7 linked regions of the Ovis aries genome follow. The protein of the gene in region 1 purifies or fractionates together with the protein of each later gene. This does not show direct contact. Links are inferred from orthologs where the notes say so. Each region holds a gene or a part of one and is shown on either strand. Other genes may lie near its edges. The genes, in order: PLK1, CLSPN, WDCP, FARP2, DCAF1, UBR5 and C1H1orf226.

Region 1 (4,023 bases):
GAGCTATGTAATTAGGAGTCCCGCACAGGGTCTTCTTCCGTTCCCCGTCATACTCCACTTTGGTTGCCAGTCCAAAATCCCCTGGGACAGAGGGAGGAAGAGGGAGGCTCAGATGCCAGCTTCTGTCGTCTGTCAATGCAGACAGCTGGTTCAGCTGGTAACCATCAAGAACCAGGGTCAAGTGATCTCTCAAAGCCTCTAGTCCTTGTGTACAGCAAGGACTAGATTCCTGTTACCCAGGAATCCTCCCACCATGCTGGCCCTAGGGAAGGGCCTCCCAAAGACTCTCATCACCCCTCCCCTTAGAAAGGAGGGGTTTACTTCTAAAAGGGAACTGACAGGGATCTGCTAAGTCGCTTCAGTCATGTCTGACTCCATGTGACCCCACAGACAGCAGCCCACTAGGCTCCTCCGTCCCTGGGATTCTCCAGGCAAGAATACTGCAGTGGGTTGCCATTTCCTTCTCCAACACATGAAAGTGAAAGTGAAGTCGCTCAGTCGTGTCCGACTCTTCGTGATCCATGGACTGCAGCCTACCAGGCTCCTCCATCCACGGGATTTTCCAGGCAAGAGTACTGGAGTGGGGTGCCATTGCCTTCTCCGACTGACAGGGATAGCAAAACTCAAACACCTTCAGGGATTAAGCAAGTAAATGTCAAGATGGCTACTTGGCAAGTTTGTGAGGAAGTGATACGGAGGGGTGGGGAATGTGGCAAACCATAGGGCATCTAAAGGGAACAGCTGCTGTTCAGTACAGCAAAGAGCTGTCTTGAGGGAACGCTACCCCTGTACTGCTGGAGCTCTCGAGTGTTTAAAAGGAGCTCCAAATTCAAAGTTTTACATCAAGGCTCTCAGTTTAAAAAAGTGAAAATGAGGAGCGGCTTCCGTGATGGCTCAGTGGTAAAGAATTCACCTGCCAATGCTGGAGAAACAGGTTCCATTCCTGGTCGGTGAGGATCCCATGTGCCACAGAGCACCTAAGCCCATGTGCCACAACTACTGAACCTGTGCTCTAGAGCGCTGGAGCCACAACTGCTGAAGCCTGCGCTCCACAAGGAGAAGCCACTGCAATGAGAAATCCGCACATGCGACGCAGAGTAGCCCCCACTCACCGCACCAGAGAAAGGCATGCAGCAGCGGAGACCCAGTGCAGCCGAAATAAGTAAATTGAAAAAATATTTTTAAAAAGTGAAAACAAATCCAAATTCTTAAAAAAAAAAAACAAACTGTATAGAACACACTGCCCCCCTCAAAGCACATCTGCAGACAAGACACTGGTTTGTAGCTCTTTAAGTTCCTGTCCTAAGAGAGGATTCTACAGCCAATCAACAGCCCAGACTTCCTACCATCCTCTTCCTCTCTCCCTTGTCTCTTTCCAAATTTCCTCTCCCTCACCCTCCCTCCCAGCTCCTCCTCATTCCCACTGCATGTCAAATGCCCTTGCAGTCCCAGCTCCTTACCTATTTTCACCTCCAGATCCTCGTTCAGGAAGAGATTGCCCAGCTTGAGGTCTCTGTGAATAACGCGGTTTCCGTGCAGGTACTGGCAGCCCAGGACGATCTGCCGCAGGTAGTAGCGGGCCTCGGGCTCCGTGAGAGCTTTCCTCCGCTTGTGCAGCTCCAGGAGAGACTGGGAGCAGGAGGGAAGGAGAAATGGGAGCCGGTGCTCAGACCCAAGGCAGGGAGGGAGTGTCATTAGGTAAAGGCAGCCAGGACGCTACTAACCATTTCTTCAGGACAACTGCGATCCAGACTCCCCCCCCCCCCAAAACCAGGCCGCAACAGTTCATAGCAACCCTCTCCCACTGGCTCCCTCCCAAAACCCTTACCTGGGACCCCTCTCTCAGACCCCTCCGGAAGCTCAGAGACCCCAGTATCCCGGTCCCGGAACTCTTGGCAGCAACAGGTCCCTTTCCTGCCCCTCCCCTCCCCCGGAAGCTCCGAAGTCTGGCTCCAACTACCCTCTGCCTGACCCAACCCTACTCGGGAAAGTGAGGGTCCGCAATATCCCTTACCTAGCAACTCCAAAGCCCTGGCGTCCATAAGCAAGGTTCTCCCGCACCTCCCCCAATCCGCCCAACTCCTAGCGTTCAGAAGCCGCCTTCCCTAGAGGCCCCAAGTGCCGAGAACCTTCCCTCTCCCCAAGACTTTCTCCATTTCCAGTTCCAGGTTCCCAGCACCTCTTCCCTAGCAGCTCTGAGCCCCGGGGCGCCCCTTCCCCAGCAGCTCCGGTTCCCAGTGCCCCAACCCCTGACGCCAGGGCAGTTCCAGTTCCCCAGCAGCGACACTCACCCTCCGGCGGCAGAGCTCCAACACCACGAACACGAAGTCGTTGTCTTCGAAAAAGCCGTGGAAGCCTACGACGTGCTGGTGAGCGAGGCTGCGGTGAATGGATATCTCCATGGACATCTTCTCCTTTTGGTGCGGTTTGAGCAACAGCGACTTAGGCACGATCTTGCCCGCGAACACCTCCTTAGTGTCCGCATCCGAGATCTCAAAGCACTTGGCAAAGCCACCCTTCCCCAAAAAGCGACCCCGTAGATAGCGCCGCCGGCTGCGAGGGTCCACTAGGACCTCCGGAATCTCTTTCGCCGGCGGGGCGGCCGTCGGAGCCCCGGGAGCTGCAACTCCGGGCGCTTTCCCTGGGTCGGCTGGTGCCCGCCCCAGCTTCCCTGCAGTTGCCGCCGCACTCATGTTCCCGGAGTTGCTCAGCGGACCTAGCAGGGTCTAGGCAGAGGCTTGGCACGGCTCTGCCTCTCCTCGAATTCAAACGCGGCGCCGGGAACGTTACAAGAGCCTACGCGCTACTGATTGGCCGCGGGGATTTAAAATCCAAACCCGCCCGCCGCGCGGCACTCTGGGAGCGCTCGGCACTGCAGCCGCCTTTAAACTCTCACCCAGGCCCTGGGAGGAGCTTGATTGGCAGGGATGGCGGACGGAAGACACGTGGGATGCCTGGGAAACCAAAGCTGGTGTGGGGCTGCTGAGACCCCGCCCCAGAAGAGGGTGCGTTCAGGGTTTCTCCTTTCTCGACGGCAGGGGAAGCTCCTGCAGTCCGCGAGGACCTCCTCCAGGAAGCTTTTCCCAGCACCTTCCTCCATCCCCACCTCGCCTTCTAGATTATAAACTCTGAGAATAGAGACCTAGAATGAGAGACAGCATGGGGGAGCCCTAACATCCGCCCCGGAAGTCACCAGCTCTCTTCCAAATCACCCCATAAACTAAAATCGAAGTCTAAAGAGAATGCTTGCCAGGCAAACGCATCTTCCAGACAAACCCCCTACTCTTCTTCAAATAACAGCAGGGGCCACCAACATCACCAACACCTGGGAGCTTGTTAGAAAGCCAAAGCTTCAGGCCTCAACGCAGACCCCCCCAATTCAGAATCTACCCAGTGATTCCCACACATATTGAAGTTTGAGAAGTACAGTACCAGAACCCCACCACCCCCGCCAGGGTCATTCTGCAAGAAAATTGTCTGGCTGGCTCACTGCTCTATTTCCCAGTGCCTAAAATAGTGGACCCTCAAGTGTTTTGTAAGAGGGAAAGATGACAGGTTGGCAGAATGCCTGGCAAACTGGTAAGCCAAGGTCAAATTTGGCTGCAGAGGTGTTTTGTTTGGTCTTTCACTTTTTAAAATTTGGATTCATATACAGGAGTGAAAAATCAAGACAGCTCACATAAAAATGCAACTTTGAAAAAACTATTAGCTGTTGCAACTCTATGCTTACTTAACATACCTTCCCAGTTTGTCAGAGTTCCCTGATAACCCTCCTTTGCCCCTTTGCCTGTCTGGCTTCCATAGATACTTAAGTGGCAACCCTGAGAATCACTCAAGTTGTAAGCCCAGCATCCTATGATGTCTTTGCTAGGAGTCAGCAAAAGTCATATCAGTTATCTCTTTACATAACTCCCAATAAACTCAGAGGCAATGAAGACATCTTTCCTACCCCATGTCCCAAGCTCTCAGCACAATGCTTGGCAAAAAGGAGTGACTAAAATGCTTTATAAATAAAAGGGAGTT
Region 2 (3,500 bases), on another chromosome or scaffold:
CCAAACAGACTTCTCAAGAATTCAAACTACAAAACAAACAAAACTCCCCAGCAGCTATACACGGAGTTCAGTTATGATTACTTTGTTCCCTTCAAACTCACCTCATCACTATCAAACTCATTATCATTTGGGACAAGCCGAAAGTCTCCAAATTCCTCCTCTTCACCTTCTTCTTCCCTAAGATGCAAATCAACAAATCCATACACAAGTTGTTGAAAGCCAACTATAAGCAGTCAGCCAACTTAGGGACCGAAAATATCTTATAGCCCCAAGAATCTCTTCAAAAACAGGAAACAAGATATCTTGCCTTTCAAAAAAAATTTTTTTTCCAAACTGTGATAAAATACATACAACACAAAGTTTGCTATCTTAACCATTTTAAGTGTACAGTTCATTAGTGTTAAGTACATTCACAGTGTTATCCAACCAACCTCTAGAACACTTTTCATCTTAAAAAACTAAAACTCTATACCCTTTCAATACCAACTCCTCATTCTTACCGCCGCACAGCCCCTGGCAACCACCTTCCTACTTCCTGTCTGTATGAATTTGACTACACTAAGACCTCATATAAATCATACAGTATCTGCATATTTGTGAATGGCTCACTTCACTTAGCATAATCTCCTCACAGTTCACCCATGTCTCAGCATGTATCAGAACCTCCTTTCCTTTTAAAGGCTGAATAATATTCCACTATGCATGCACCCACTTGGGATGCTTCCACCTTGTAACTATTATGAATAATGCTGCTAGGAACATGGGTGTGCAAATATCTACTAAGAAACCGTGTTCTCAGTTCTTTTGTGTATATACCCAAACGTGGAATAACTGCTGGGAGTGAGGAAGTATTTAAAAAATGGGGTTTTGGTTTGTATTTCCTTAATCACTAGTGATGGTGAGAGCTTCCATGTGCCTTTTCTTGCCTTTTTTATCCTGTTCACAATCAACTAAATGAAAGCATTAGAATAAATAATTTCACTGTTCAAATATGAGACTCAAACCCATTGCAAGACTCTCAGACAGGATATGAAGCCCCTAAGATGACCATTTACTGCTAAGCCCAGAGAAGCTACCCCTGTACTTTATCAGAAGGTGGAACTTGCCAAATTCCCTCAGATCACTGGGACTCACCGGTCTGTTGGGAAAGAGCCTGAACAAAGAGCGAGTGCTTCTTCCATTGGATCACCCAGGCTGCTCTCCTTCTCCTGCTTATTTAACTCTGATGGATCCAAAGTAGAGACATCTACATTACAACAAAGAAAAAGATTTGTCACCGAGAACTGACAGCTTTATCCTCTTTCCCCAGCCATCTGAAGACATGCCAGCTCAACACAGTTCTAAGGTAAGCTTGCCAAAAAGAGCTCACCATCCACTCATTCAGCAAATCCCTATTTAGTGCTTACTATGTGCCAGGCACCAGGGAGACATCAGTGAATAAAACAAAGATCCCAGCTCCCAAAGAGCTTACATTCTAGCAGAGGTGTGAGAAGGAGAAAGGGGTGCACAGGTGGAAGTAATAACTTAGCATTTATATGAAGTTTACTCTGCAGCAGACGCCGCTCTAAGCTTTGCACATATTCTAGCCATAAATGACAAGTCATATGGCCAAAGTTAAAGCAGTCTTAAGGTGATACTTCACCATCCTAAAAAAGGAAGAGCTCTAAATGTTAGGAGCTAAGCAGTGAATTCAACCTAGGTTCAAGAATCCACCATGGCTGTTTTCTGTGAACATTTCACCTGAGATTAAGGGACTTCTTCACATGGACACTGACGGTATTTGGGCGGGTGAGCCTTGCTGCTTTGTTGGATAATTACCCTGAGAAGTAAATTTTCCTGAACAAAGATCCAGAAGTTCCTCCATGTTCTCTTTCTTGTCACTCTTCCCAGGCAGAGGCTTTTCAGCCTGAGATGCAAATTTCCCAGTACACAAATCCAACAGTTCATCCATGTTGGCATCCATGGCGTTCTCATCCATACTGGCCAACGGCAACCGAGGCTTCAAATCTTGGTATTGATTCCTGTGGTTTCTAACATTTAAGAACCTACAAGCCCAATGAAGAGTGTAAGAAATGCTTCAGGAAAAAAAAAAAAGTAGTGGGGGAAAAGCCTGAACTCATTTCCAAAAGAAAAGTTAGAAGCTGAATTCTGAACCAGAAGATAAGAGTGTCAGATTTTAGCCTGTGATAACCTTAAGAGGGAGGGGGATGTTTATGAAAGAAGGCTATTCAAAAGACAAAGGGTAAAGGCTAATTTGGGGCTTCAGATGGTGCTAGAGTAGGGCCTGGTGTTATGGCCATGTAATGTGCCACAGAGGTGTCAATTCTCAATGCCACCCAAAATTCCTACTGTAGTGGGACAAAGGTCAAAGTGTTAGTCACTCAGTCGTGTCCGACTCTCTGCGATGCCATGGACTGGGGCCCTCCAGGCTCCTCCGTCCATGGAATTCTCCAGGCAAGAATACTGGAGCAGGTTGCCGTTTCTTTCTCCAGGGGATCTTCCCGACCCAGGGATCAAACCCAGGTCTCCCGCACTGCAGGCAGATTCTTTACCACTTGAGCCCCCAGGGATATGGATACAGGGAAATTTGATGACCTTATAAGAGTTATGCAGGTCTAATAAGGTAGAAATTGAAGGATCAGAACACTAGCAAGGCTATTTACTTTTTATTTTCTAGACAGACTTTGTTCAGACTTGTAGAATATAATACTAATGGTCTGCACACCTCTCTTTCTCAGAAGGGAAAGCACAGATGGAGTGACAGAAGCTCGCTTTATTTTTAAACAAAATTAAGCAGTACCCAGCACAATCCCACCCACAGAAACATAAAGCTACCTACCCATCTGCATCCAACAGTTGGCTCTGAGTGTCATCTTCTAAGCAGAACTGGAAGTCTCCTGCTCCTAGGAAAAGTGTCTTAGGTTCTGGGGAGGCGTTATACAGATCTTGGGAATCCTCTATGGGAAGTGAAGGCTCAGACAGCTTTCCTGAACTCTGGCACCAAAACAAAACCAAACAAAAACAAAACATTTTACAAATGTCATTCACTGTCATGACAACAACAGAAGCTGCTATTTGTAAAATCTAATCTACTCTCAGGCAATTGCAGTTGGGGAGGACAATGCATAGCCAAGGGAAGCATAAAAAAAAAACATCCTCAAGAAAGAAAGAACCCTGGATGAGGCTTGTTTTTAATACACAAAGGGGGTGGATTTTTAAAACTGAACATACATAATGTGGTGGGAGTTTTTGGCTTGGACACACTTTATTTAGCAATGTGGGAAGCAAAAGGGGGAGGAGATTAGAAAACCATTACCATCTCACCTTAGAGGCTGAACTGACCAAACTGGCTCGAAATAGCCCTGGGGAAGGAGATCTGAATCCTCCTGCTGTAGGGAAAAGACTGGTCCCGCGGCCTGTTTGTCTGTTACAAGGCTGATAGGATGGAAGTGTGGAGCCTATCAGCTCAAAGCTGCTATTGTGGCTGCTCTCCTTTGTCA
Region 3 (3,500 bases), on another chromosome or scaffold:
CCTAGTGCATATTCCTGAGAAAGCAATGGCACCCACTCCAGTACTCTTGCCTGGAAAATCCCATGGGCAGAGGAGCCTGGTAGGCTGCAGTCCATGGGGTCGCTAAGGGTTGGATACAACTGAGCGACTTCACTTTCACTTTTCACTTTCATGCATTGGAGAAGGGAATGGCAACCCACTCCAGTGCTCTTGCCTGGGAGAATCCCAGGGACAGGGGAGCCTGGTGGGCTGCCGTCTATGGGGTCGCACAGAGTCGGACACGACTGACGTGACTTAGCTGTAGCAGCAGCAGTGCATATTCTGGGCTTCTCAGGTGGCACAGAGGTAAAGAATCTTCCTGCCAATGCAGGAGACATGGGTTCGATCCCTGGGTTGGGAAGATCCTCTGGAGGAAGAAATGGCAACCCACTCCAGTATTCTTGCCTGGAGAATCCCATGGACAGGGGAGCCTGGAGTGCTCCAGTCCATGGAGTCAGAGAGTCACACACAATTTAGCCATGGAGGACACACAGTGCATATTCTGTACTTAAGTATGCAACTGCATATGTCTAATAATGTACATACCTTAATTTTAAAATGCTTTACTGCTTAAAAAAATGCTAACTATCAACTGACAAAAGATATATCTATATATCTTTAAACAAAGATATATAAGTCCACAGTAATCCTATCAGTGTGGTACTGTTAAAGTTTTAGACAAAGACCAGTATTACAGTAGCTGCAGTAAGAAGTAACCAGAATTAGATCTCAGGATATGTAAGTTTATATATAAGAAATTTGGTAGATCAAGTTCAGTGGGATAAAGATGCATTTTTAATAATGTCGGTAGCACAACTACTTACCTTTCAGAAAATTTTAATCAATGATTAAAAACATAAATGTAAAAACTAATGTAATAAAATAATACAAGAAAACCTAGGTTACTATACATCTATCAATTTCTTTAGAAAACCTCTTGTAAACTGGTAACTCAATAGCAAATAATGAGCAAAAGGCAATTCACACTCAACTGACCAAAACACATGAGGATATACTCAAATTCATTAACAGTAGTGAATTACCAGGGGCTTCCCAGGTGGCACAGTAAAAGAACCTGCCTGCCAATGCAGAGGACACAAGAGACAAGGTTTGATCCCTGGGTTGGGAAGATCCTCTAGAGTAGGAAATGGCAACCCACTCCAGTATTCTCACCTGCAGAATCCCATGGACAGAGGAGCCTGGCAGGCTACAGTCCACGGGGTCACAAAGAGTCATCCATGATTAAGCATTCATCATAGCCAACAGTATGGGAAAAACAATTAATAAAAGTGAAATACTACTTCACATTCATCAGATTGGTGAGGATGTAAGGAAAAGGATAGTCCCATATGTTGCTGACGGGCATGTGATGATTCATTGTTTAGTAAAAAGTCTTTGAAAGGCAATCTGGCAACTCTATTAAAAGTAGAAGCATATACATATTATATATATATACTCTTCAAATCTACACTTCCACTTCTGGGAACCAAGCCAATAGAAATAAAAGTATGAATATAAATAGATACATATGAGAATACTATTGCAGCACTATTTGGAGTGGCTAAGAACTGAAAACAAAGTGACTGTCCATCAACAAGGGAAGAACTGAATAAACAGAATGCTGTCAGCATGAAGTAAAGAATACACCATATGACCCCATGTTTGTAAAACAATGAGAAAATCACTACCCCAACCCCTATATACCTATGAATTAAGCAAAGATCTGTGTAAGATTATATGAGTACGAAGGAAAAATATGCAAGGATCCACATTAAGCTACTAGCTAAAAGTGGATTACAGGGAGAAGCAGGACCAAGTTCAATGGGAAAGTATTCATGATAAAATAAGATATTATATGAGCCCATTTAAATATTTTATGTTTGCATATACAATAATACATAGGTACATTAAAAAATTGTAATGACTATAACCTTTCTTATAAGTGGAAGAGAGCTTGCAACTGCATATAAGAAAAGGTCTTCTCAATGAAACAGCATGATTTAAGAATTTGTTTTCTAAACATAGATTGCCAGAATGAGTGCAAGAATTCATGTCTTCATACCATGCGCATGATAAAGTCATGGTGTATATTGCTATGTGGGCCTATCCAACCAACCTGAAAAGGTATAAAAACTTGCCTGAACATAACATGCCCAGCTCAGTGAAGTTCAATTAGAACCCCACTGCCTCAACAATAAATTTCTCTTGCAGCACATACTGGCTACAGGAGCCAGTGGTAGTTCCCCCAGAGGAGAAGTTACCTGGCAAGTGATGTGAACATAAGGCAGATCCTGAGAGAGTGGGTACACTGGAGAGGATTTCTTTCCATTGTGCAGAAAGTTGCTGAGTTCAGAAAGATGTCGCTGCACTTCACTCAGGTTCCTAGATACAACTTCCAGTTCCTTAGACAGCTGGTACATTTCCTTTTCCCGTTCTAAGTTAGGAGGTTCTGCGGTACTGGTGTGGGCTGGTGTGCTGCTGGGTCTGGGCAGTGTTACTGACCAGTTAACAGGCTTGGCATCTAGAGTTTCTAGGACTGTGGAGCCATCACAGATGCTGGATGCAGGACTTTCTATTTCTTCAATAAGGGTTCTTCCAGGCCGTCCACTTTGACTGCTGCTATTAGCTGTGAACAAGAGCCCTCTGCTTTGGTGACAAAAATCCGGCGAAAGATCTTCAATTAGCTTTTTTATATTTGTTTTATTTATCAGAGTACTGAAAGCAGAGTTACCACTCTGGTTTTCACTCAGTGTTACTGGAGAGTCTTCTTTCAGCATTACCTCTCTAACAATCAAACGAATCATATACTGATCAGATTTTGAAGAAGGAAGAAATGCCGAGTCAGTGGACTTTTGTCTTCCCACCAAAATTAATAGTAATTCATCTGTCAAGAAACATATGCCTTTTGGTCTTTCATTACTTTCTAACTGAATCTGCTGGATGTTTGGCATTAATAACGGAATGACAGAATAGATAAAAATTACATTAGATGTATTGGAAGCCACTGCGACTGCTTGTGCTTTGAGATTAAATGCTATTAGATCAGGAACCAGAATGCCTGGAATGATGACTTTTCTGTTGCAGGTAACCTCCTTCTCAAAGGTCAAAAGGACCAAATGTGAAGAATCTAGGCCAGTTCCTGTCAAGTAGTCTTTTTTTCTTAGACAAGTAAGAGAACTACCCTCAGATTTAAATCTGTTGAAGTGGATATGAGTTAGATCCAGAGGCTCAGAAAAGGATGACGACACTGGTGTTTCAGAATTTGTTTCAGAGGAAAGTGGATCAGTAACTGGTAAAGCACGCAGACAAGTGTCTTCACCACTAGGGGGAACGTCAAAAGTTCCAGAAGCATTTAACCCACAAATCTTGTCCAGCGGAAGCTCAGTGGCTATAGCGACCTGTGAGTCCACAGTGGCCCCGATTGAGCGCACGTAGCTGTCCACATCAAAGACGGGACAGAGGGAGCACCTGTGAAGAGTCTT
Region 4 (3,500 bases), on another chromosome or scaffold:
CACCCAAGGTGGGCACGAGCGGCCGCTGGCCGGAGAGCTGGCGGGGCAAGGCAGCACGTGGGACCAAGCATGAAGAAGCCTTTTATTCTCAGCCACTCGGCGCATGAGCACCGTACACTTCTTGGGATAAATTAGAGGGGCTTGCTGTCCACTTTTCAGAAGTGTGGGCCCGGGGGCACCAGAGAGGCTTCTGTGCCTAGACCCCTCACATCACCCAGCCTGACGGGAGGCCCGGCCCAGGAGGAGGAAGAGGAGGGCAGGTGGTTGAGGGCGGGGCAGCGCCAGCCTTGCCTGCACAGAGCGCGCCTGCTCCCCCTGCTGCCCTCCTGGCGCCTCGCGGGGCCCAGGGCAGCCCTCCCTGCCAGGTGGCGCCGGAGGCTCGCCTGCCACCAGTCTCCTGGGGGAACAAGCAGTCGTGGGGTGCGTGCTGGCCTTGCTTGCTCGGCTGTCTGCGTCTGGGGCAGGGTGGGCCTCAGGCCTCCTCCTCAGGGGTCCCGGCCCTCCCAGCTGAGGCGCTGGCTCTCTCTATCACCTCCATCCACCTGAGAGGAGGCGTAGAGGTCAGAACCGCCCCACCAACTGCTCGCCTGGGAGGCGGGGCGTGCTCTGGTCCTCAGATCGGCGGGCTTGTGCCCCAACACCTTCCCAAGAACGATCCCAAGTCAAGAGGGAAGGGCCCCTTAAACCCCAGCAGCAGCGCTCGGCAGCCCCTCCAGACCCAGGGAGTGCGCAGCCAGTCCTCAGTGGGCACAGCCGGCGCCTCTGCAGTTACCTCCTGAACGTGTACTTGCTCTCGGCCCGGAAGAAGTAGACGTGGGACTTGAACTGGAGCTTGAAGACATGCTCCTTGTGGATGCTGTCAGTGTCCCTGGGCAGGCTCACGCTGTAGCCCAGCAACGGGAGGCTGGCCAGGGGGTGGTCGTCCTGGAAGGTGGCAGGGCGTGCTTACTCGGCAGGCGCCCAGCCCTGCCCACCCAGAGGCGGGTTCTGTGAGGCTGCAGCGCCCACAGGTGGAGCCCCCGCCTACCTGATGAGTTTTGTAGAAGAACAAACAGAAATTGGTAAAGACCACCCAGAGCTTTTGCCAGCCACTGCTGTTCTTGAACTTCCTCAGCAGGTATCCAGAAAGCTGGTTCTGAAGAGAAATGCCTGTGGACATGTGTCCCGGGACCACCAGCCCTGGAGGGCCTCCCCCAGGCTTGACTGGGCGCCTCCCCTGGCCCTGGCGCTGTCTTTAACGGTCCACTGGGCAGGGAGAGGCTGGACGAGCCCGGCGCTCCTTGTCCCCAGCGTCCCGGGACAGACACGGGAATGGGCTGAGGCTCCGGATGAGGGCTGGGGCTCCACGGGACGCCCACAGCGGCGTCTACCCGCAGGCTGGGGGCATGGTGCTTGCGTGCCCTGCTGTGGTGCCCACCGTGCTGCCCGCTGGCGCACCCCATCCCTCTGGGCGTTGCGAGTGCGGCCCCAGGCCTGAGCCCATGGACGGCGCAGGCAGCTCCTCAGGCTGGGGCCCCACACCTCTGACCCTGGGGCTAGCACAGATGGCAGAGGGGCACCCAGGTCACCTCCTGTCCGGTGGGTCCCCGCGAGTTGGCCCGCTGCCTGCTCACTCCCTGGCCTGGCCCCCACCTGCTCTGGGGGTGCCCAGGGGCCTGACACACCAGGCTGCGCGCTGCTGCAGGGAGGGAGCAGAGCAGGGGTGCCCGCGCTTGGCCGCACCTCGCCGGCTGCGCTGTGGTCGGCCCTGGATACGCTGGTCTGGCGGCACCAGCACACGTGCGCGGTGGTACTGGCGCGGAGCTGGCCTGTTCCCACCACGGAGCCCCGGGCCCCACCAGCCTCGTCCCCGGACTCCGGCTCCATAGAGGCCTCGTCGGGGAACCCTGGGGAGAGGCCAGCCCTGGCTGAGGCTGTGGGAACCCTGGCCACACACTGCCCTGCCAGAGCGCCCATGCCCACCGCCCCCTAAACATGCCCCATGGAAGGAGGGCATGCGGGTGTAGTGGGTGGGCTGCCCAGGCGACCCCCAGCCCCGCCCCCAGAAGGCCTCCTCGGTGTCTAGGGGCTCGGCTAGCACTCACCACGGGGCAGAGGGCACAGCACGCAGGCCGGGGGCGCCGGAGTGCTGCCAGTCTTGACTGCGTCGATGGCCGCGTTCAGGTCATGCAGCCACTTGGCCTTCTCCAGCCGGGTGCTGCGGACAGGCCTGAGGCTCAGCCGCTGCGCAGGGCCCCCTTCCGCAGTGGGGCAGGGAGTTGGGGCGCCTGCCCTGCCCAGGCACCCCCTGCTGCAGGTCCTGAGGGCTGGCAGGGCTGCTGGTGGCCCAGCCTGACCCACCGTGCTGGCTGGGGCTGGCCCACATCATGGTATGTTCCTGAATCACGGGATTTTAGAGCTCTGTTGCAGAAATGGGTGCCTGAAGCCTGGATCACAGTTAAGCTGCCAAGGTCTCCTGGTGGGAGGTGAGTGTGCTGTGCTCTGACTCCAGCCAGGACCCCACAGGGTGCGGCAGGACCCAGGCCCTCCTCTGGGAGGCGTGGGACCGGGCACAGCTCAGTGCCGATCCCCACGGAGGGCCCGCACAGGCCATCAGAGCCTGGGTCTCCTTCCCGGGGATGTGACCTGGGGCAGGGAAATGTCCACTGGTCCTGCGCTGTGGCCCAGGCGGCCAGTTGCTGCCCAGCTCTGGGGCAGGGGGCAGCCTGCAGTGCCGGGCCGTCCTGGGGATGGTCTCAGCAGCCACACGCTCCCACTGAGGGTGAAGCTGCTCCCCTGAAGCAGTGCTCACCGGGCCGTGTGTCCCGGTGACCGTGACGTGCATGGCATGGGCCCACAGGCAGACGGGGAAGGACAGCCCTCACCTGGCCGCCACCACGATGGTCTTCCGAGCCGCGTAGATGGTGAAGCAGTGCGGCACAGACCGCTCACTCTCCCGATCCTCCACCTGTGGGCGGAGAGGGGGGTCTGGACCAGGAGCGGGGCTGGTGGGACCCGAGCTTGCAGCTGGACGCAGGCGCGCACCAGGCCCCCGCTGACTCTACCCGGGGCTACAGGGGGCACTGGGATGCCCCCGCTGGGGCCCTGCCACCCAGGTGGACGACCTGAGGGCCACAGGCACCCGGCTACTCACCGGCGGGTCCAGCACTATCAGCTGAAAGTCAAGCACAGGAAGAGACGGTGAGCGTTTTGTTGAAAAGAGAGTCAGACAATTCATGATATAAAGTGGTGCCAAAACCTAACAAAGACTCAAAGAAAATCCACACAGACTAACCGTGATGATAAGGGATTAAATAACTCCAGGAAAAAGTATTCCCTAATTGGACCTAAAGGCAGAGACAAGGCATCGTTCTATAGCAAGCCAGGTGGTTCCAGAGATGCAGGACGGTCTGGCGTTCTGAAGCTGACTGACAGGATCCACTGTGTCACAAAGAGCGGAGTGGCCGTTCCCAGGCACTGGAGCCTCTGCCAAAGCCCTGCGCGCCTGAGGAGACCTCTGG
Region 5 (3,500 bases), on another chromosome or scaffold:
AGCCCAGCTCCACTGCAGCACTCATGTTAGCTGGAACACCACCCTCCTAACTGGAAAGCCTCCTCTTGCTTCTCTCACAGAAACCAGACTCACACTTTAGGAATTTTACATCCAATCACATGCCTTCTTAGTCACCCTCCAGTGTCCATCTCATACACAGGAAAAGCCAAAGGTCTTAAACAACACACTGCTACAAGAGGCTCCAGGGTATGCCCCCACTGACTTTGGTTATTATCCCCTCCTTCTCCTTCCCACCTCCCAGGAATGGGCTTTTCCCTTGCCATTCTGCATCTCAGATCACTTTCCCCAAGGTATCTGCATGACGCCCACGCTTCTTTCAAGACATTACTTAAACATTATCCAATCACTGACACTTATTTCCTGGATGAAAAAGAAGTCCCCCACACCACCACCAAGCATTTACTATCTCTTACCCTGCTCTCTTTTCCTTGGTAGCACTCACCACCTAACACACCATATATTTGCTTCTTTTTGTTTATTGTCTCCCCATATGGATCCACCAAGACAGGAACTTTACTTCATAGTGTTTCAAGGTATCTTTTGTGCTAATGAAACAGTTCTCAAACTGTAAGATTGCTCAGTCGTTTTACATTTTTCCCATATAGCCTGAAACTACTTCATTACAATTCTAGATTTTATCTGGAAAGAATCATCACTGAGTAATTTCTAGTTGCCCACAAGACTTAAGTAATCAGACTCAGTTCAAAAAGTTTCAGTATAAACAGACAAATCACCCTGAAAAATGTGGATTCTTAAATACTTACATGGGCGATGTCTCCCTTCGTGCCTATGACCCGGTCCTGAGAATGCTTACTGAACTCAACATAATGATCTTCTGTAAAGGAATGCCTATGAACAAGCAACAGAAGTATTGCTGTAACTGATCTTCAGGACATAATTATTTAACTGACTAAAAAGAAAGTGATTCTCAGCCTCTGGCCTAACTATACTCACCTGAAGATTCTCAGCTCCCAAAGAGGAAAAAATTGTACACAAAAGATTAAAAAGAAAATTCCCTCCATCAATTTGTCCAAGAAGATTCAAAATAAATGAATGGGAACTACTTAGTTATAACAATGGCTAACAGGGTACATATGCCTCTGTAAGATGCCCCAGCAAAGAGCGCCACTATGAGAAAATAGAAAGATGTGCCCTTCTGGATCAGTGAAGGGTCTGCTGTCTGATGGGAATGTATATACTTGGTAAGAATACCCAGGAACCAAGAAAATAAAAAATCTTATTAAACATGTACCACAGATGAGGAAGAGAGAAGTCAGCAATAAACCTTACAGCATTCCTCTCTTCCCTCAAAAATGCTCTGTGTCAAAGAATCAGATGAAGGGGATAAATTGTAAAACAGAGACACTGAACTATAAAAGTAGATACATACTTCATATCAAATACTGATTTCATTCCCCAAAGTGCAGACAGAGGCTGGCTCCAGGTAGCCGATGTCAGCAGCAAGGATCCATCCTAAAAGAAGACGGGAAGCCCAATATGGGTAATCATGTGTTTACATAAATGCCATCCTTCATTAGCATTGTAAAATATAACATATATTACTGGATTATAAAGAAAACAGAAAAACTTTTAGGAATCAAGAAATGGTCAGAAGTTGCTAAGATTTAAGTAATATGTACCTATGTCACAAAAAATCACTAAATTTGAGAATATTTAATCCTCCTGAACTAGTAACATGAAATACAATAGTTTCAAGGGTGTGGTGGGTGGGGGATGATGAGACTTAGATGTCAAACATGGTTTCTCCTTTCTTAATATTTGGCCTTATTTCTCCATCTCTCTCATCTGAAGTATCAGTAAACTGAAAACAGCTGTTAGACTCTGTAGCTAAGGATTCTCAAAAGATTTTTTAAAGAGAAAGCCCAATAAAGATCAACTTGCTTTATTTTTCTTCCCAGCTCATCACCAAATTTACTCAATCTGTATTCCTCATGATTCCCCCATTATAATTTTTTCAGACTTTCTGTTTTGGACTGGGGTAGAGCCAATCACCAATGTTGTTACAGTTTCAGGTGAACAGCGAAGGGATTCAGCCGTGCACATACGTGTATCCCCTCTCCCCCGAACTCCTCACCCATCCAGCCTGCCGCACAACAGTGAGCAGAGTTCCCTGTGCTTTACAGCAGGTCCCTGCTGGTGATGCACTCTAAATGGAGCCACCTCCTTCACTTTAGAATGAGGGAAACTAGCCTTGTCATCTTAACAGTCTTGACTTGTAGAAACATCAAAAGCATTGATTTCATCCATAGAACAGTACTAATAACCCAGTCATATTTACAACGGATAACCAACAAGGCCCTACTGTAGAGCACAGGGAACTCTGCTCCGTGTCATGCGGCAGCCTGGATGGGAGGGGAGTCGAGGGCACAATGGAAGCATGTATGTGTAAGGCTGAGTCCCTCTGCTGTCCACCTGAAGCTATCACAACACTGCTTCTCAGCTATACTCCAATATAAAGAGTTAAAATGAACAGTACTACTAGACTGCCAGTGGGATCACACAATGCTTGTTTTCCTAAAAAATCACAGTACTTACAGATTTCCTTCCAAGACAAAAACTTTTGTGGTCATAGTTGATAGATAATCTCCATTTCTAAATAAAGCACATTAAAAATCTACCCACCTATCTTTAGGTCTGGAAAACATAAGGGCCAGATAGTACATACTTTGGGTTTTGCAGGCCACATGGTCTGTGCTGCATACAACAATACTCAACTCTGCCGCTGCAGCACAAAGCAGCCAGGACATACATAAACATCTGAGTATGGCTGTGTTCCAAACAAACTTTACACACAAACACAGGAAAGCGGTCAGCCCACACACCTGCAGTTCACCAACCTATCCTAGAAGCATGACTGAGCACAACCTAGGAGGGGAGCTTTACCCTGGAGGGCTCCAGGTGTGTGATGGCAGAGTTGTGACAGTTGTAGCTGGCCTCTTCCTGTCCACTGAACACGTTGTAGAGCTTCAGCTGCCCGGTGCAGGTGCCCAGCATCAGGAAGCGCTCTCGTGCAGAGAACGCACAGCAGGTGAGGCCACTCTCATCCTCGTTGGCTTCCCGGAACACTGAAATAGGACGGAACCTGAACAAACAGAAGAGAATCAGAGACAAACAATATGCAAAGACTCGGAAGAACAAAACTTTGTTAGAAGGACAGAAAGAAAAACAGCCTTTCTGTTTCAAGCGGGTTCTTCCAAATTATCAGTGACCGTCAGTGGTTCATCTTCATTTTACAAGAGAGAACTGGACCTTCACTTAAAAATGTTAACAATAACAAAAATTCCCATGTGAAAAACCTGAGATCCCACAACTTGTATGTAAGATTTTTTGAAAAATATCTATTGGGCTGCGCTGGATCTTAGTTGTGGCATGTGACCTCTTAATTGCGGCATAGTTCCCTGACGAGGGATTGAACCCAGGCCCCCTGCATTGGCAGTGTGAACTCTTACCTACTGGAC
Region 6 (3,500 bases), on another chromosome or scaffold:
TCCAGCTCCATGTCGCTCCCTAGCAAATATATTTAAATAACAAGAAAATAAGGTACAAACACACTATCGATCAAGACAGGCTGATAAGACAGAATACTGTAAGGGTGGGAAGGGAAGGGAGCGGGGCAGAGAGGACTGGTAATGCTAGAGTATGCATAACTGCCCACTTAGCATAAGAATGACCAGGTAAATCATGGTACTCAGTGAACACAGACACAAAATTTGGCCTGCATAGCCTTAGGTAAAAAATATTAGGCAGGAGGACTTCAACAAGTGGACAGAGCTCAGGGTTAGGGCCACTGCTTCATTTTCATCAATTTTACATATTGGGATTCCAAGAGGGGAAGAAGGCTAATAAACATGTATCCTTTGTATCTCACTGTATATACACAAATGTCATAACATACTAAGTTATGAATTTTCAACATGTATAGTTTTCGGCATGTCAATTAAACCTCAATAAAGGTGATCCCCAGAAGTCTATCCTATGGCTATTAAGAAGGATGACGGCTATGGAGCAAAAAGGCCTACATGAAAAATCAAAATAAAAAATTTACACATAATATGAAAGACACGCATGAGAATGGGGCAGTACAGGGGAGGACTGAAAGTAAAAACTGTTAGCGTCTGGGTGGGATTATGGGTTGTCTTCCCTTACCTCAATTTTCAAATGTTATGTTGGTTATGATTATTTTGATTTTAAAAGACTTTTAAGAAAATAGAAAGTGTAAACCAAATGGTAAATGGAGAGATGATAAATTATTTTATGCATGTAAACATATAAAAGTCTATACATTGGGTTGGCCAAAAAGCTTGCTTAGGTTTTCTGAAGATGTGGTAAAGCCCAAGTGAACTTTTTGGCTAATCCAGTATTTATATTTCTGTATGTAAAAGTCTGTCAGATACTACAGAATCCCCTGGCAGAAGTATGCTGAACGTTTCACTATACATTAAGTACTATTTCCTCTGTATTAGTTCCTCTTTAAAGGCACCTGGTTTTCTCATACAGGTAATTTCACCAATAACCTGCTTACCGTCTTCATCATGCTCATCGTGCTGTCCCTCTGCCTCAGCATTTTCTTCGCCATGTTCTTCCTGTTCGTCATGGTGATCCTCTTCTCCAGCCACACCCTCCACCACCTCAACCTAAATCCAGATCTTATTTGTAGACAATCAAAGTACATAATAAACCCACATCTCTACCAGTATTCCCCCACAGCATTTAGTAACTAAAATACAAAGATCACTAACTACAGGGAACTGTAACACTAAGTAGTTTTGAAATTTTTCATTTGCTAGCAAAAATTTGGTATAAAAAATTATGCCAACATATCCCAAAGTTTATGATTACTATCCATACACAAAAGCTTAAAATCAGAAATATAAAAACTGTGTGGGGAATATATGTTTTTTAAACTTTGGCAATTATAAAATTTATATAATAAATATGCAGCAGCCTCTCTACCTCTGAATACACTGCACAAAACTACTAAAACATTTTTAACATTGAGAATATCTTTTCTGTGAACCCTGAAGTAGAGTTACGTTTATTTCTAATTTCTCATTAGCCAATGAAACAAGGATTACTAACATATTTTAATATGTGTAACTACAAATGAGAACATATAACCGAAGTCTAAAAGGTAGAAGCATATACATGTAACAGTGGTAAGCTACCGTTAATAAAACATCTAGTGACTACTTTCCCCTTCCCTCCCAAATAAAAGCCTCTCATGTACCACAGTTACAACAACTGAAACCACCTCTTCCACATCTGCTGAAACGATGTCATCCTGTTCTTCATCCCGGCCGCGGACAGGCTGTGACTGGCTGATGCGCCTCTGCTGTGGGTTCCGGATGATGTAGGACGACTGAGACTGACTGGAGCTGTAAGGAAGCAGCTTGTGAGCACGCTGCGGCCACCACCCTGACAGACAGCATAGACCCCTCAGAGTTATTCAACGTGGTTCACAACCTGCTCTTTCCAATCTGACCAAATGTTTCTTGGAAAGCAACAATAATTAATCTATGGTATATCAGAAAATGTGTAGCCCCAAAGAAATCATCTTACCTAAGATTTAACTTATAAATCTCAGAATGGTTTTTACTTTTTAGTAGTAAGGCATTTCCAGTCTGTGTTAATGCATACTTTTTCCCGTTCTCCCCACTGAAATATTTCTACAGAGACAATGTTTCCTTTTCCATTGCTAAACCTTTCAACTTCCAAAGGCTCTGGTAGCAGCATTCACCCACTAAGGAGAGTCCCTTATTTACAAGTAACCTACTCTTTAAGAGACTTGACTCACATGACCTACTTTGCATCAGCTTATTAACCACTGACTTGCTGATGAGTGTGGGGAAAAAAATAAGTTCAGAAGTACAATTATAAAATAAATCATAACAAAAGATGGGGTGGCAAAATACTGGGTTGGCCAAAAAGTTCGAATTTTCTGGCCAACCCAGTAATTTTGCTTTCTTAAAAATGTGACTTGGAAACAGCCAAGAATGGACAGATGTCTCCATTATAAAAGATGTTTAAGACGTCTCTTGCACATCTTAGAAACTCTGCAACTCAAAAGTGCGGCCTTGAGAGCAGCAGTACTGGCACGGTCCTATCTGCGAGTCCACAAGAAATACAGACTCTCAGGCCCCACCCAGACCTCCAGAATCAGCCTCTGCATTTTAGTAAGACACCCAAGAGTTCTGCATGCATGTTAAAATTTGAGAAGCACTGTGATAAAAGACATCAGAATATTTCAGTTGCTAAACACTCTGACTCAGCCAACTTAGAGCCTAGTTAGGTAAACTATTAAACAAATGGAAAAATGAGATTTAAGATCAATGCTGTAACTAGAATTGAATTGTTTTAGTCTTATCCCATAAGAAGGATCCCCGAACCTCAGAATCAAATGTGGGATGGTCTGAGGTGGAGTTATGTAATAATAACAGAAATAAAGTACACAATAAATGTAAAGTGCTTAAATTATCCTTACTCTAGTCCACGGAAAAACTGTCTACCACAAAATCGGTCCCTGGTGCCACAAAGGCTGGGGACCACTACTGTATGAGTGCACAGAATATTTTAAAATTCCATCATTCTGTTGTTATTTAGATTATATAATAACCTGCCCCCTTGCCCAAAGCTTTGGACACAGAGAAAGGTAAGACGTCTTTTCATTCTTCAGCTTGGCCTTCTAGCACGCTATATTTAAAGGTAAGAAAAAAGACAAAAGTAATGAAGCACAGAAGCCTAAAGTAAACTTTCTCACCTGATTACTTTTTTGGTATAATAAAAAGTGCCATTCTAAACAAACAAACCAACCAAATCGCACCCCCCTCCATTATATGTCTATTACTTTAAATGTACAGACATATAGTTTTTAAAGTGCTTTTCACATGTTCCAAACAAGATAAAATCTTTACCATTTGTTAAACGAATGATCCTGTACATAACCAGAGTGCCTATACCTCAGGTTTAGTTTAGTTTTAGATTTTAGTAA
Region 7 (4,284 bases), on another chromosome or scaffold:
AAAGAGTGTGGCGTGCATTTAACCCTGAAATCCCAGTGATCGTGCACTTCCATGGACACTGCTCAGGAGGGATGTGAAAACCAGCCAGACGAGGCACTTGCCAGATGCTCTCAGGAAGAAAAGCGTCTACTTCCACCTCTGCTCAGGTCTCAGCTAACATGATTTGAATGTACTGGTGTCCAGCATCGATTACAAACAGCTGGGAGTTAGGACCCAGTTCTCAAAGTCAGCCCTGCCCTTTCTTCCCCACTTCACCATTCTCAAAGCAGAACCCTTGGTGTGCTGCACCCCAAATCTGTAATGGGAACACAGCAGGGACCAACTGTGGTTCCCCCTCGTCTTATCAAGCACCACTGTGTATGAATCCAGGGAAGTTACCATAGGAACCGCACCACCAGTGTTTCTCCAATGTTGGTCCCAATCACCTGCATTAAAGCTCCTGGAATGCTCCTTAGAGGGGCACAGTCCTGCTCTCTCCCTAGATGTATCAGATTAGAATTGGGGACGGCAACAATCAGAGTTGTCAACAACCTCACCTGGTGATTCTTATGCACGCTAGGTTAAGAGTCCTCGCTAGGACCAAACTAGCAGAGACTGTGAGAAAAGAATCAAAAGGTTAAAAACACTTTAATCCTGATCTCTCTTCTGCCGCCCAGCCTTGCAAAGCAGAGTAATGGTGAACCAAAGAAGACCAAAGCCAACTGCCTAGTTCATGCATGTCCGAGAAAATTAAGTCATGATGTGATGAAAACTCATACCTTAAAATTTAAAAACCTGATCACCGAAGCAACAGGCCCGGACAAAAATTAACCCATCTGATCTGGTATCAAACCAACCAGATCTATTCTGAGAGAAGCAAGATAAGATCTTGGCTACAGCCCCACTCTGGTCCCAGCCATACCCAGTAATTCAGTTCTGCATTCCACTGCAGGGCTTGATGTCTAGGGGAACAGGGGGTGTCCTCCTAGCTCTAGCAAATATGGTTGGGGGAAGGTTATTTAGGAAGCGGGAGAAAAGGTAAGATTTAACATCACTAGGAGAAGGAAAAAAAAACAAAACTGAGAGATAACTGTGCACTGGACTCACATCAGACTCTCAAAAAGATGTCTCATGAATTGAAGGAAATAGCCACCTGATGGAGTAATCCTTGCCTGAGATGCTTAACACCTTACCTATGAAGGAGAAAAGGGGGACAGAGAGTAAAACTGCCTCCATGTCGAACGCATTACCTTTCCAAAACCAGCAAGACACAACCGACTAGGAGGGGTGGTATTTTCCGTCACTTGTCAGTGACAGGCACACAGTAGGTGCTGAGCATCCTTGAGTCTTGAGGGGAGGGCGTCAAGAAGCACGAAGGAAGAGCAGTAGCACTCCTCCCTTGTGATGGGCAGGAACCCCGGCTGCAATCTCAGAAACCAGAACTCCTCACTCTGGGAAGCGCATGACAGGGGGGCAGCCTTATTCACACCTGATGGTGCAGTTCAGAGGCTTCCGCCCCACCCCCTCTCCCAAGGACGGACCTGGGGCTCCGAGCTGAAAATTCCTGTTGCCGCGCCCGCCTCCCCCCGCCCTCACCGATAAATTCTTCAGCCGCAGTCCCCTACTAGATGCTGAAACTTCACATTACGCCACAAAACTAGCAACCGGGCAGCTTTCACCACACCTCCCCCTTCAATGACTGGCACTTGCAAAGGAGTCGTGGCTAATAAGGCATTTAGGAAGTGACTCTGACACCTGGCTGGGGTTACCAGGAATCTAAAAACAAACCCACCCCTGTATTATTTTCTTCAATCAGGAAGCAGGTATTCCCCTTATAAAAGACCTTTCTGAAAGCACCTCTCCCACGGGATCCCAACAGGTAAATGACACCAAAGCTTCCCTAAAGCGATTCTAAAGAACCAAGTGCAGGCTACGCTCCCCGACTGGCTTCTTCTCAGAAGGAGGGATCAGGGAAGTAACTCAGTGAGTCCTGGGTGGGTAAGGAGGGGGCAGTTTGCAGGTGGGAGGAGGGGGATGAAGCAATACCGCTCAAACTTTGCAGTTACTCTGTAGCAGTTCTGGGCAGGAACCCGCGGAATTCTATACAGAGAAGGGGAGTCATCCTCCCTAACAGAAAGGCCCCCAAATCAGCCTAACCCACCACCAGCTCTGCGTCCGGGATGGCTGCGCATCCCATCCGCTCAGACATGCCCCCTCCGGGACAGTCCCTTCCCCGGGGCCCCTCACCTTGGCCTCGAAGCAGATGCCGTGCTGGAAGGCGTCCTCGTTGTGCAAGGGGATCCGCAGGTCGTGACCATCGTCCACAAGGTTGTACTTGGTTTTGCTGGGCATGGTGACCCGCGGTGGACCGGCTCCTCCGGAGGCGGTGGAGGCAGGAAGGAGCTGGCGAGACCGCTGGGAGGGGAGGCGGGAGCCGGGGGCGGCGGCGCGCGGAGGGGGCGCAAGCGGAGGGTCGCCGGGTTGGAGGCGCCCCGGCCGCGCGGCGGCCGTGGAAGCCGGGACTCGGAGAGACGCCGAGGGCCGGGCGGCACGGATGCGGGCGACGCGAGCGGCGCTGTGGCCGCGCAATTCCTGCCGGCGAGGAAGGCGGCGGGGGCGGCGGTGGGAGCGGGCAGCGCGGCGCCCAGGCCGGGGGAGGGGAGCGGTGGGCGCGCGGCCCGCGCTGGGACTGGGCGCGGCGCTGGCCCGGGAACAGAGGCGCGGACAGCCCGGGACGAGGAAGAAAAGGCGGCGGCGGCGGCGGAGCTGGGTGCCTGTCACGGAGACGCCGGATCAGCCGCCGGCGAGCGACTCCTCCTGCGGGGCGGGCCCGGGCCGGCTCCTCCCGCAGGGCGCCCAGGCTCCGCCCGCCGCCGGGCCCGCCCCCGCGCTGCCCGCGGAGCAGGTGAAAGTCCCCGGGAGCGTGGCGCCCGGCTCTGCCCGCGTCCCCGGGCTGGACCCCGGGAACTTCGCCCTGACCCTGGACAGCCGGTGTCCCAGGAACGCAGGCTCAGTCCTGTTTTTGTTTTTTACAGTCAGAGTCTGAGCCAGGCTCCTAATAGTTAGCAGCGGCGGCGCCTTGGGTTTTCTGTTTTTGTTTTTGGAGGGGGGAGGGGCTGGTGTTTATTGTTTTGTTTTTAATGTTTTACCAGGAAGGCCCAAGTCCTGGCCCGTGTGTATTCAGACCATTAATTCTGAGAGTTTCCTTTCTTTGGAGAATCAAGACTGCACCCAAATGGAGGACGATCGCAGGTGCTTTGTGTTCGTTCCTTTGAGCTGTTTTGTGACTTGTATTATTGGAGGGTTGTGGGGATGCCTTTGGGGGTGGTTTTAGTGTTAATGTTAAAACCATAAGCCTCATGGAAATGGAATAGGCCGATGAAGCGTACTAAGGACAAAAGAGCCCACAACGTTTCCATTTTCTTAAACAACCTAAAGCTGGTTGTAGACAAAATGGGCTTCCAAGTTAGTACTCTTCCTATCTTAGGAAGTGCTTCAGTTCAATTTGCTTATTGTTAAGAAGAGACCCATTCACTTTTCTCCTTTACACCAAGAGGTTTTTTTTGCCATGCAAAAATGTGCAAAGGAAGGGCGGGGCAAAGGGATAGTTAGTGACCAATTATGTATCAGACCCCATGGGTAGAGGAACATGGGTTAATACTACCCGCGAGTCAAAAGTAACCGGATAGTCTGGTGCCAAAGCTAGCCCAACCTGAGATCACTGAGAGCCAATGGTCAGCAACTCTGCTGAATTCAATTTAAACCTACTAATACCTTGTGGACACATCCACCCGGGACAACTTGACATACAGACACTATTGTTGTATAGTCAAGGCCCCAAAAGCATCACAATAAAATTACTTCCAAGAGGCATGTCTTCCTATAATATTTCTGTGATACATTTATATAAGAGAACACATTATTGTCATAAATCTATTTCTTATTTTGCCCCATAGTGCTGAAGTACAATTGCTCTTTGCTATATGTTGCCTGATCCCTACCTGCTGAAATTACTGGTCAAGATGTAGCCTCTTCTGGGATATCTCCTTATATGAAAGCAAGCTGATGACTAAAACAAATTAATCATATACCTTCTGCTGTATAAACTTTATTATATTCATAAATATTAGTAAGAACCAAAAATAATTTGCACGGAGGAAATGCTCCACTAACCTTTTTATAAATACAGGACATGAAAGTCTAATCAGGCATGTGTGACTCTTTGAATGTCACCGTGGTTTTAATATGCATCCTAATGCCCTCTCTAAAACCTGGCACAGGAACTCAGCAACTAAAAGGCAAGAC

The links.
Region 2: the proteins of PLK1 (region 1) and CLSPN purify together in Homo sapiens (affinity purification with western blotting; 3 studies listed by BioGRID, with this or other methods). This does not show direct contact. The link is inferred for Ovis aries from reciprocal best matches to the Homo sapiens genes PLK1 and CLSPN.
Region 3: the proteins of PLK1 (region 1) and WDCP purify together in Homo sapiens (affinity purification with mass spectrometry; 4 studies listed by BioGRID and IntAct, with this or other methods). This does not show direct contact. The link is inferred for Ovis aries from reciprocal best matches to the Homo sapiens genes PLK1 and WDCP.
Region 4: the proteins of PLK1 (region 1) and FARP2 purify together in Homo sapiens (affinity purification with mass spectrometry; 3 studies listed by BioGRID and IntAct, with this or other methods). This does not show direct contact. The link is inferred for Ovis aries from reciprocal best matches to the Homo sapiens genes PLK1 and FARP2.
Region 5: the proteins of PLK1 (region 1) and DCAF1 purify together in Homo sapiens (affinity purification with mass spectrometry; 3 studies listed by BioGRID and IntAct, with this or other methods). This does not show direct contact. The link is inferred for Ovis aries from reciprocal best matches to the Homo sapiens genes PLK1 and DCAF1.
Region 6: the proteins of PLK1 (region 1) and UBR5 purify together in Homo sapiens (affinity purification with mass spectrometry; 4 studies listed by BioGRID and IntAct, with this or other methods). This does not show direct contact. The link is inferred for Ovis aries from reciprocal best matches to the Homo sapiens genes PLK1 and UBR5.
Region 7: the proteins of PLK1 (region 1) and C1H1orf226 purify together in Homo sapiens (affinity purification with mass spectrometry; 3 studies listed by BioGRID and IntAct, counting the BioPlex papers as one, with this or other methods). This does not show direct contact. The link is inferred for Ovis aries from reciprocal best matches to the Homo sapiens genes PLK1 and NOS1AP.

What each region holds. Positions count from the first base shown.
Region 1 is NC_056077.1:21,880,673-21,884,695, reverse strand, and holds the start of PLK1 (serine/threonine-protein kinase PLK1), read right to left. Parts: upstream 2,801-4,023; 5' UTR 2,694-2,800; coding exon 2,292-2,693; intron 1,630-2,291; coding exon 1,461-1,629; intron 82-1,460; coding exon 1-81. UniProt on the Homo sapiens protein: Serine/threonine-protein kinase that performs several important functions throughout M phase of the cell cycle, including the regulation of centrosome maturation and spindle assembly, the removal of cohesins from chromosome arms, the inactivation of anaphase-promoting complex/cyclosome (APC/C) inhibitors, and the regulation of mitotic exit and cytokinesis.
Region 2 is NC_056054.1:10,698,991-10,702,490, forward strand, and holds part of CLSPN (claspin), read right to left. Parts: coding exon 3,325-3,500; intron 2,995-3,324; coding exon 2,840-2,994; intron 2,046-2,839; coding exon 1,819-2,045; intron 1,247-1,818; coding exon 1,135-1,246; intron 178-1,134; coding exon 102-177; intron 1-101.
Region 3 is NC_056056.1:31,714,316-31,717,815, forward strand, and holds part of WDCP (WD repeat and coiled-coil-containing protein), read right to left. Parts: coding exon 2,280-3,500; intron 1-2,279.
Region 4 is NC_056054.1:376,891-380,390, forward strand, and holds the end of FARP2 (FERM, ARHGEF and pleckstrin domain-containing protein 2), read right to left. Parts: intron 3,155-3,500; coding exon 3,134-3,154; intron 2,948-3,133; coding exon 2,865-2,947; intron 2,198-2,864; coding exon 2,085-2,197; intron 1,887-2,084; coding exon 1,723-1,886; intron 1,136-1,722; coding exon 1,028-1,135; intron 925-1,027; coding exon 773-924; intron 543-772; coding exon 473-542; 3' UTR 69-472; downstream 1-68. UniProt on the Homo sapiens protein: Functions as a guanine nucleotide exchange factor that activates RAC1. May have relatively low activity. Plays a role in the response to class 3 semaphorins and remodeling of the actin cytoskeleton.
Region 5 is NC_056072.1:49,405,488-49,408,987, reverse strand, and holds part of DCAF1 (DDB1- and CUL4-associated factor 1), read right to left. Parts: intron 3,125-3,500; coding exon 2,926-3,124; intron 1,495-2,925; coding exon 1,412-1,494; intron 871-1,411; coding exon 786-870; intron 1-785. UniProt on the Homo sapiens protein: Acts both as a substrate recognition component of E3 ubiquitin-protein ligase complexes and as an atypical serine/threonine-protein kinase, playing key roles in various processes such as cell cycle, telomerase regulation and histone modification.
Region 6 is NC_056062.1:75,041,825-75,045,324, reverse strand, and holds part of UBR5 (E3 ubiquitin-protein ligase UBR5), read right to left. Parts: intron 1,888-3,500; coding exon 1,764-1,887; intron 1,147-1,763; coding exon 1,035-1,146; intron 20-1,034; coding exon 1-19. UniProt on the Homo sapiens protein: E3 ubiquitin-protein ligase involved in different protein quality control pathways in the cytoplasm and nucleus. Mainly acts as a ubiquitin chain elongator that extends pre-ubiquitinated substrates.
Region 7 is NC_056054.1:113,541,098-113,545,381, reverse strand, and holds the start of C1H1orf226 (uncharacterized protein C1orf226 homolog), read right to left. Parts: upstream 2,801-4,284; 5' UTR 2,332-2,800; coding exon 2,227-2,331; intron 1-2,226. UniProt on the Homo sapiens protein: Adapter protein involved in neuronal nitric-oxide (NO) synthesis regulation via its association with nNOS/NOS1. The complex formed with NOS1 and synapsins is necessary for specific NO and synapsin functions at a presynaptic level.